Linked DNA regions of Mus musculus: region 1 is reported to be linked to region 2. Evidence: microRNA targets listed by miRTarBase, many of them from high-throughput screens and not tested one by one. Region 2 holds a microRNA gene; the other region holds the end of a gene's coding sequence.

The links. Region 2 holds the annotated microRNA mmu-miR-3967 (AGCUUGUCUGACUGAUGUUG, at 1,458-1,477, shown strand). A microRNA usually pairs through its seed, bases 2 to 8, with sites in the 3' UTR of a target mRNA and lowers its output. Matches are read on the target gene's strand: a 7mer-m8 pairs with bases 2 to 8, a 7mer-A1 pairs with bases 2 to 7 and ends in A, and an 8mer does both.
Region 1: the mRNA of Cdc42ep3 is a reported target of mmu-miR-3967. Seed matches in the 3' UTR shown: 7mer-A1 at 3,024-3,030.

What each region holds. Positions count from the first base shown.
Region 1 is chr17:79,331,041-79,335,040 of GRCm38, forward strand. Cdc42ep3 (CDC42 effector protein (Rho GTPase binding) 3) reads right to left here. Exons shown (of 2, transcript NM_026514.3): 2 at 2,683-4,000. The coding sequence ends at 3,685. Among named protein-coding and RNA genes, the nearest start is that of Gm17315, 22 kb to the right of the region's middle.
Region 2 is chr2:22,652,864-22,657,546 of GRCm38, forward strand. It overlaps Mir3967 (microRNA 3967), which reads left to right and starts at 1,420; the gene lies at 1,420-1,487. All of the region lies in intron 8 of Gad2 (glutamic acid decarboxylase 2), which reads left to right.

The DNA.
Region 1 (4,000 bases), not on the chromosome of region 2:
TGTTACAGATCACTCCATAAGAGTTTTCATTCCTTCACGTGATGTTCCTTGCAGTAATTCACTAGAGAAGGATGACCCAATGAGTCAAGCTAGGAGCATTTGGACTTCCTCGCTTGAAGCATAACATGGCAACCATTCTCAGGTGAAAAGTTCCTTGGATAAAACAGTGTGCTTTCAGAATAAAATGAGTGACCCTTTGGGCAGCGTTGGATCCATCAACTGTGTTAGTATGTTGAGCAGTGACCATTTACTCGCTTACAAAGCAAGCATCTTGTTTATTCAGCACCACGAATTAATATGTATGGCTACTTTTCAGCAACACAGCTTTCTTGAGTCTCATACAGCTTAAAGAGGTCTTCGGGTGGCTCACCATGTGGTGTGACATTGAGAATGTTCTCTTGTTGTGCTGGATCTAGTCTGAGAGTACGGGTGGGGACACAGGACAGTTGTATTATATTTACACCAAGGGCATGGGACACAGTGGTCTATTTATATACCTTAGTTGCTTACCATTCATAGTCTAGGAGGCCAATCCTAAACCGGAGGGTTTTGTCTGGGGCTAGGTTGCCAGTATAAATTCCCAAAGTGAGACTCACTGCAAAGAGGGCAGCATCCTGAGCTGCTTTATTGTTGCTGAAGCTCAAAGCAAAATGGCTCAGTCATCCCAGCTTGGCATTAATGGGAAGACTAGAAATATAACATATGCTCTTTTTTTTTGGTTTTTTTATTTTCTAAAATAGTTATCAAGTTAATTCACAGACTCCCAGGTCAGCACCATTCCATGATGTACAGTATTTGCAGTGGCCTTCAGTGAAAAGACCTAGCTTGAGGCTGTATCCTGGGTTTCTGGTTCTCCTTCCTGCTCAACCAATTGTCCTCTATGTGCTTGTTGACAGTGATGCTGGCCCACTGAGATTAATGACTGTATATTATGAGGAGCAAAGGACTCTGATATTATTTTTAGCATGTAATTTTTGGATGGAAAATATAGTTTGTTAGGTCTTACTGTCCATGAAAACAGACATCTACCTACACACAAAACAAAAAACAAAACTTTGCCTACTTTAAAAGGGTCACTACTTATGCAAATGATGACATATTTTTGGTATGTGGGTCACACACAGGTGGCTTGTCACTCATTTTTAGTTTACAAATGAAGTCCATTTGGGTTTCCTTAAATTCCTTAAATTAAGTGAAGATAAATTAGGATGTAAGTAGGATGGAGACACAGCTTGAGAACATCAAATCAGCTCTCAGCAGGTAAGAGTCTAAAGTGCCTCTTTGTAGGACAGAAAGTTAACTGCCACTTGGGCACCTGTTCAAGAGACTGGACCAGGCCATTTTCTTATAATAGGAGCGAATTTTTTGCTATGTCAAGTATACCTACAAGTGTACTTGAAGGTGTCTGTGTTTTAGTTGTTTGGTCCGGACAGAGTATGGATTTTGGAGAATATGGAGTTTAGTTTGGAAAAGTCAAGTGGGTAGACATGTGAGGGATGCAGAAGATGAGACTTTACCAGAGCCGTTCTCCACCATGGCTGGAAAGGCAGCAAAAAAGATGGAGACAAATCCCTCCCTCTTTCCCGGAAGTCATACAGCAGACAAAGGGTACAGTGAGACTGAATATGATCAGTAATTAAGATGGGAAAGTGTTAAGAGAGTTTGGCTGACACCAGCTACAAAAAAATGAGCTCGTGCAACTTGGCCTTAGAAAGTCTAAGAAGTTTCTGACCCATGACTGAGTGTGATCCCACAGAAAGGAACACTGGGAAGAAGCAGAGTGGAGATGCAGGACTTGGGGTTGCTTAATAGACTCAACGCTCTAGGGGAAACGATTTACTCTGTTTGGTTAGCCACCCAAAGTGGATCTCACTTCCTACGTTCAAAGGTTATCCCATGCATTATATGATTGAAGTCCAAGAACTCTAAACCCCAGGCCAGAGTCCCTGCTGCTGCCTTGGTGAAGGTGCCCTAGGGATACATCAAGCTGAGGGAGCTGGCACTCCCTGTTGGCAACAAAGCTCAGAGTCAGGAGGGGCGCCTAAAGATAGACAGGAATCTGTGTGCAATTTCCTGTTCTGGGTTCCTTAACCAATCTCCTCAGGGCATCTTGCAAAGGGGAAGGGCCCTTGAGTGGTCCTCTGAAGCTTCTGTGTCTGTAGGACCTACACAGCAAGGGAGCCTTTGTCTTACAGGATAAAATGCTGTAGCCAACCTTGAAGACAGGCATGCACAGGGCTTTGGTGGCCCTGTGGCAAAGGCTTATAGTCTTAGCTCCCCTCCCCCATCTCTGTCTTCTCTTCTCTCTTTTCTTTCTCTTTCTTCTCTCTCCTCTCGCTCCTCTTTCTATCCTCTCACCTCTCTTTCTATCCTCTCACCTCAATCTCAATCTCTCCCCCCCTTTCCACTTCTCCCCTCCCTCTCTATCTCCTCCCCTCACTCTCTTCCTCTCTTCTCTCTCTCAGCATGCAGGTTTGTATAAGCCAACAACAACAATAACACAATGATTGCCCATGTTCATTTCTCTTAAGTGTTCCTATTTCTAGAACCAAACTTGTAAAAAAGTCAAGACTGCAGTCATCTCTTGGCTTATGTTAAAGGTGTGGGTACATTTTAGGACTTTTACTAGATGGTCTTAAAATCTTTTCGGTTCTTGTTTATGACTATAAATGAACACGTTCATTTTAGCATTTACTCTTTATTGCGTGGTATGATGTACCCAAGTAATGTGAACATGAGCTGTCCTTAAATACCTACCTCACCTCCAGTCTCCACAGAAGCATCACCCTGTGCCTCCTACTGGGAGGAGGTAACACCCGAGCAACAGGGTCAGGCTGATAACGCATAGGGTTGGGCTGGTTTTGTTTTCAAATACACACGCGTAGCTTGCAAGGAAGCCCGAATGGAAACACGACAAATAACACTTGATGTATTATGTATAAAATGTAGACTTTGCAATAAAAAGCCAAAGGCACATAAAAATATATTTCAACTTTAAAAATAACTTAGTTACAGTAATACCTTGCTTGTTTTTAACCAACATGTAGCTGACAGTCAAACTTTTGCAACATGGAAATAATATACAGGGATATATAAAAACCACAAGGAAAAAAAATCCCAAATCCTGTAAGGTTGCTCGAATATGCAAAGAGTAAAATCATAACGCTGGAGACTTCGCTGTGGTGAACCCAAAAGATACAATATACAAAAAAGGCTAGGAAAAAAAGGCGTAGGTGCCAAATAAGTAAGTTTCCTTCTCATAACATGCAATGAATTGCCTTGGAGAGACCCATGGACCCAGCCCTCTTAGACAGCCTGGATTTCTGCATGTCTACAAACAAAACTGAGCATGTATGAGCATCAGCAATGCCTGTTGAAAATGAGCTCTGACTCACTTCCTCCTTTTTCTTTTCTTTTTTTTTCTTTTTTGCCAGAACAGGTTTTTTTGTTTTGTTTTGTTTTTTTTAATTTTTAAAAATTATTGTTTTCAAAATTTTTGCAAACAGGGCATGATGGTTAAAAAAATATTTTGTAGGAACAGGAGCGTTATTTTAGAAAATGCATCACATGGCTGCAAATAAAAACAGTCAGAGCAGCTCTTTCCATCAGCTGTGGTTAGTTGATTTTTTTGTTTTCTGCTTATTTTGGTACCTCTTACTCCCAAGAAAAAGAGCTGACTCCTGGCTACTTATTTTTATCCATGACATTCAGGACTTCATCCAAAAGTGAAGGCCCAAGATCCAACTGCAGGGAGAGCAGGGAGCCGGTCAGGTCAGAGAAGGACTCTTCTGATTTAGTCTTTGACTTCACAAGCTCACAGGAGGCAGGATGCTCAAACATGTCGTCCGCGGGCCAGTCGGAGGACTGTTCCGACAGGCTGGAGGAGTGGCTGTCGCGGCCCTGGCTGGACTGAGACCCGGAACCACTGGAGCCCCACGAGGTGTCTCCCTGGTGGACTGCCCCATTCTCTAACAGACTACTTTGCTCCTGAACTTTCTCT
Region 2 (4,683 bases):
AAAGCCCAATGCCAGGAGGAGTGTTGATTCCACAGCCGCCTTTGGTTGTGTGTGCCTGTTAATGCTGCTAGGTCGAAAACTGGAATGCAGTGTTGAACCCAAGATGATTTGAGCATGATTTCTTATTTTTAGCTACTATGTTAAATTTTTGAACATTTTTAATGCAAAGTAATAGGCACTATAGAAGCTATAACGGTTAACGACTATCTTTTTTTCTCAAACTTGCTATAATCTGATTTGAAAACAATATAAATGATTAAAATGAAGTACTAAATAGAAGAGCTCAGAAATAGGGTACCATAGGATCAAATAGGAGTACCACCGTACCAAAAATAATTTTTTTATTTTAAAATGACCTTTAAAGTGTGTATGCATGTGTGTGTGTGTGTGTGTGTGTGTGTGTGTGTGTGTGTGTGTGTGTGCAGGGTCACAGGCATGTTGAAGCCAGAGGACCACCTCATGTATTTATTGTTTTCCTTAGGTACTGTTTGCCTGCTTTTGAGGCAGATCTCTCATTGGCCAGGAACTCACTGGTTAGTGGAGGCCGGCTGAGGAGCCCCTCCCTCACAGCCACTTCCTCCACCCCTCCACCAGCATGGTGACCACTGCCCAGCCTGTGGTTAAGTAGTTCTTCACTCTACTTCAGTCTGGAGCCTTTCCTCCACTCTTGTCTGTCTTTCTTGGGATGCTTTTTTTTCTTTCCTGTTTTAATTTCTTTTATTTCTATCTAACTCTGATGCCCAGGCTGGCCTCCCTGTCTCTGGCTCCCAAGCACTGGGATCACAGGTGTGCTTGAGAATTTTCTGATTCTATTCCTGAAGGACTAGATAATTTATTTGGGTTGTCTGATTTTTTTTCTCATGATTCAATTCAAGTGAGGTGTCTGGAGCAGGGCTTCCAGCAAAGCAGGACTTTCTCCTTGGCAGCTTGTCAGGAGACTGGGCTCACTATTAACAATGTCAACCATAACTATTCTAAAATAAGGGTACTCTCTTTACTCTGAGTACATGATTTGAAGAGGTAGCTGTGTGTCCTGTTGCATTCAGCCACTACTTAGCTGAGCATCCATTTCTAATTCTTATCTGAATTGTTTTGAGGGTTTTGAAATGTTCATTTTTCTACCTCCATCCTTCTTGTTTATTTGTCAATTCCTGCGTTCGATGGGAGGGAGATTCATACTCGTGTTTTTTCTGTCTTCTCTTTTTCTCTTTTGCTCTATCACCCGGATGGACTCATGGCAACTTTCAGAAACGAATTCTCTCCTTACCGCCTCCCACTCTTTCTTTTCCATTTCTCCATCTCTTTTCCCTTCAGACTTTCTTTTCCATTATCTCAATTGCTAGTAATTTGCTGTGCCTGTGCAGGAGATAAGTCTGACAATGACAGTGATACCTGGTTGACACCATAGTAGAAAGGGTCACTGGCTGCACCTGACTCAGGCAGCAAGAATTCTATTGAGCTTGTCTGACTGATGTTGGAGCACAAATTAAGTACTAGTGCTTTGTAAACAATTTTGCTGTTTTAAAAACACTCCTCCAGCCTTTGAGACCATGGCTCCCTGCGCTTGTTAAAGTACCACACTTTGTCATACAATTTACCAAAACAACTGAAAGTTTAAATAACCTGGGGTCATTAAACTCTTTTGTTAAATTAACTGGACTGTAGCCAAGGCTTCAACTGAGAGCCTTGTGGGGCTACGTCAGAACCCTGCGGAGCGCCCACAGGCACAGGAATAGGACAGACCAGCAAGAGACACTGAACCAGTTAGGACAGAGTAGAGCCAGGAAGCCCAAGCATCCAATTCCCTCCAGATTTCTACACAGAGAATTCAGAGGCACTTGTGATGTCCTACATGAGGAAGTTACAAAATAGCAACAGCCAAGACTCATTGCTTGTTACAAGTGGTCACAGTCCACCTGCTGTAAGCAACTGATCTAATTAATTCGTCTAATTAGAACACAAAATAGTGTATGCCTCACGTGTACCCTTACTGTCACAGTATTATTATGGTATGTGGCCACACAGGCAATCATGTAAAACATTATGGTGAGCTGCCCTTTCTCATTTAGCTTATATCAAAGCCACAGATGCTATGTCCAAGGGCACATGGCTGGTAAGTGAGAATCAGGACTCAGAAGAGACCTACTAACTTTCACCAGTTAAGAAAACTGCTTCTTCTCTCCTGTCATTATTATAGTCAAAAGCACAGTGCTGTCTCAACTGCGTTGAGTGTACATTTTAGTGGCATCCAACTCTCACATTGTAAAACAACCATAAACTGGAAATGTGCCCATGAGACAACAACCACCCATCACCCTCTTCCCCATGCCTGCCAACCACCATTTACTTTTATTGTATATTCTCTATATGTGGATTTGGCAGAAAATTGTATTACTCTTGCTCCCTACTGGTTAAAGTATGATCACCCAGTGACTTTTTATGAGAAGTCTTAGCATAATATCCTCAAAGTTTGTCCATGTTTATATCTTGGAATCTCTTCCTTTTCAGGAGTAAATAATATTCCATTGTATACATGTATACCACATTTGTTGATTCCTTTTTCACTTTGGGGTATATAAGCCATTAGCTCCTTTGATAAATGTATCTCTAAGTATTTTTATTATTTTCAACTGAAATGAATTGGTTTTTTACTTTCTTATTTAGATAAATCATTGTTGGCATAGAGGATTCCAGTGATTTTTTTTTTCCCCTTGTGGATCTTGGTGTCCAGAAACCTCACTGAATTCAATAATTACTTTTAAACAACTTTTTGGTGGAATCTTTAGAGTTTTCTCTACATACAGTCATGTCATCTGGAAGCAGAAACCTTCGATTTCTGTTGGACTTGGCTGGGTTCCTTTCCTTGCCTTGTCTCTGGCTGGGACATGCAGTGCTTCGTTTGCTAGGGGTGACAGACAAGACTTGTCATCCTTGCCTTTTTGCTGATCCTAAGCTTCCAATTTTCAGCACTGAGTGCAATGTGCTAACTGTGGGCTTTTCATATACGGCTTCAACTGCATTTACCTACACTTTTTTCTATACCTAATTCATTGGGAGATCTTACCACAAAGGGATATTGATTGACTCTTGTCAAAAGCTGTTCCTCAACTAAGGAGATGCTCATGTGTTAGTGACATTTTTTTAAAATGTTCCAGTTTTTGTCTTAACCAAGCTAGCTCCCAAATAATGGAAACTGGACTATTATTTTTATTTACATCTTTAAGGCATAACAACTGAGCAGTATTAATCTATTTTAAACTTCTAAAATAATCTGGCTACCTCTCAGCCAAAATCCCAGAGATACTTGGATTTTGTGGCTTTCTCAAGTCTAGGTATTTTTCCATGGTCTTCTGAACTCTTTCCCCATGGATCCTCTCCCTCTCCCTCTCCCTCTCCCTCTCCCTCTCCCTCTCCCTCTCCCTCTCCCTCTCCCTCTCCCTCTCCCTCTCCCTCTCCCTCTCCCTCTCCCTCTCCCTCTCCCTCTCCCTCTCCCTCTCCCTCTCCCTCTCCCTCCTTATCAGGGAATAATAGGTAGCAATATTTACACAACATTGAGACAGGAGATTTGAAGAATAAGAACTGTATCCATAAATGGGGGCACAGAAATCAGCACTCAAATAATACAAAGATAATTTTTACACAGTGCACAATAACATACCTACAGTCATATTTTTGTGTTTCATTCTGTTCAGATATGGTGTATTGTGCTTTTTGATTTGCATATGTTGACACACCCAGTGTCACAAGGATATATCACATTTCGCTGTGTTATCAGATCCTTTTGAAATATTACTGTGTTGAGCTTGCTGGTGTTCCCTTCAAGATTCTTTCATCTGTTACTGTCCTGCAAGTTTCTTCACTTGTAATGCCTTTCCCTTATTTTCACATCGAGGTAATTCTGACCTTGCAGAAAGAATTTGGAATAATAATCCCTCCTTTATGCAGAAGATTGTAGACATTGTTAGTCATCATTATTTAAATGTTTGATGAAATTCACTAATGAAGCCACTAGGGGGGTAGGAAGGTGATGGTAAATTCTTTATTGTTGATTCAATCTCTTGTAAATTCTTGGACTCTCGTTACGTAAAGAAGAATGTTCACAAAAACAATTTTTTAAAGAGTGTTATTGTCTTGTTCTTAAATTTAATGGACAAGCATATAGGGCATTATATTTTGGGTATAATATTGACACTTACTTTGAGGTAGATGATTTTAATTGTGTCACAGAAATGCCCTAGTTTTCTTAAATCACCAGAAAATTCTTCGTTTTCTCTTCTCATCTTCTCTACCTCTTCCCTCTTCCTCCCTTTCTTCCTTCTCTAGAATAGATGTTGTTGACTGTCAGAATGTTTTTCATAGCTAGGTGCACTGGCACATGCCTGGAATACCAAAACTTGGGAAACTGAGGCAGGTGTAGGCCAACATAATGAGTCCCTCTCTCAAGAGGAAAAAAAATGCCTTTCATGCATCAGTTAGGACACCACTGTGGTTTCTTCACTTTAAACTATTGCAGAGATGACATACACCGAAATGCTAACAGTTCCTATCTCCACACACCTGTAACAAACCCTACCTGGTTCTGGTAGATCTCTAGTGTCCTTGTTTGTTTTCAAAGATGTCCTGATTTCTTGGAGACTTTGTAATATTATTTATGGAATGTTTCCATATTTAACAGAACCAGCA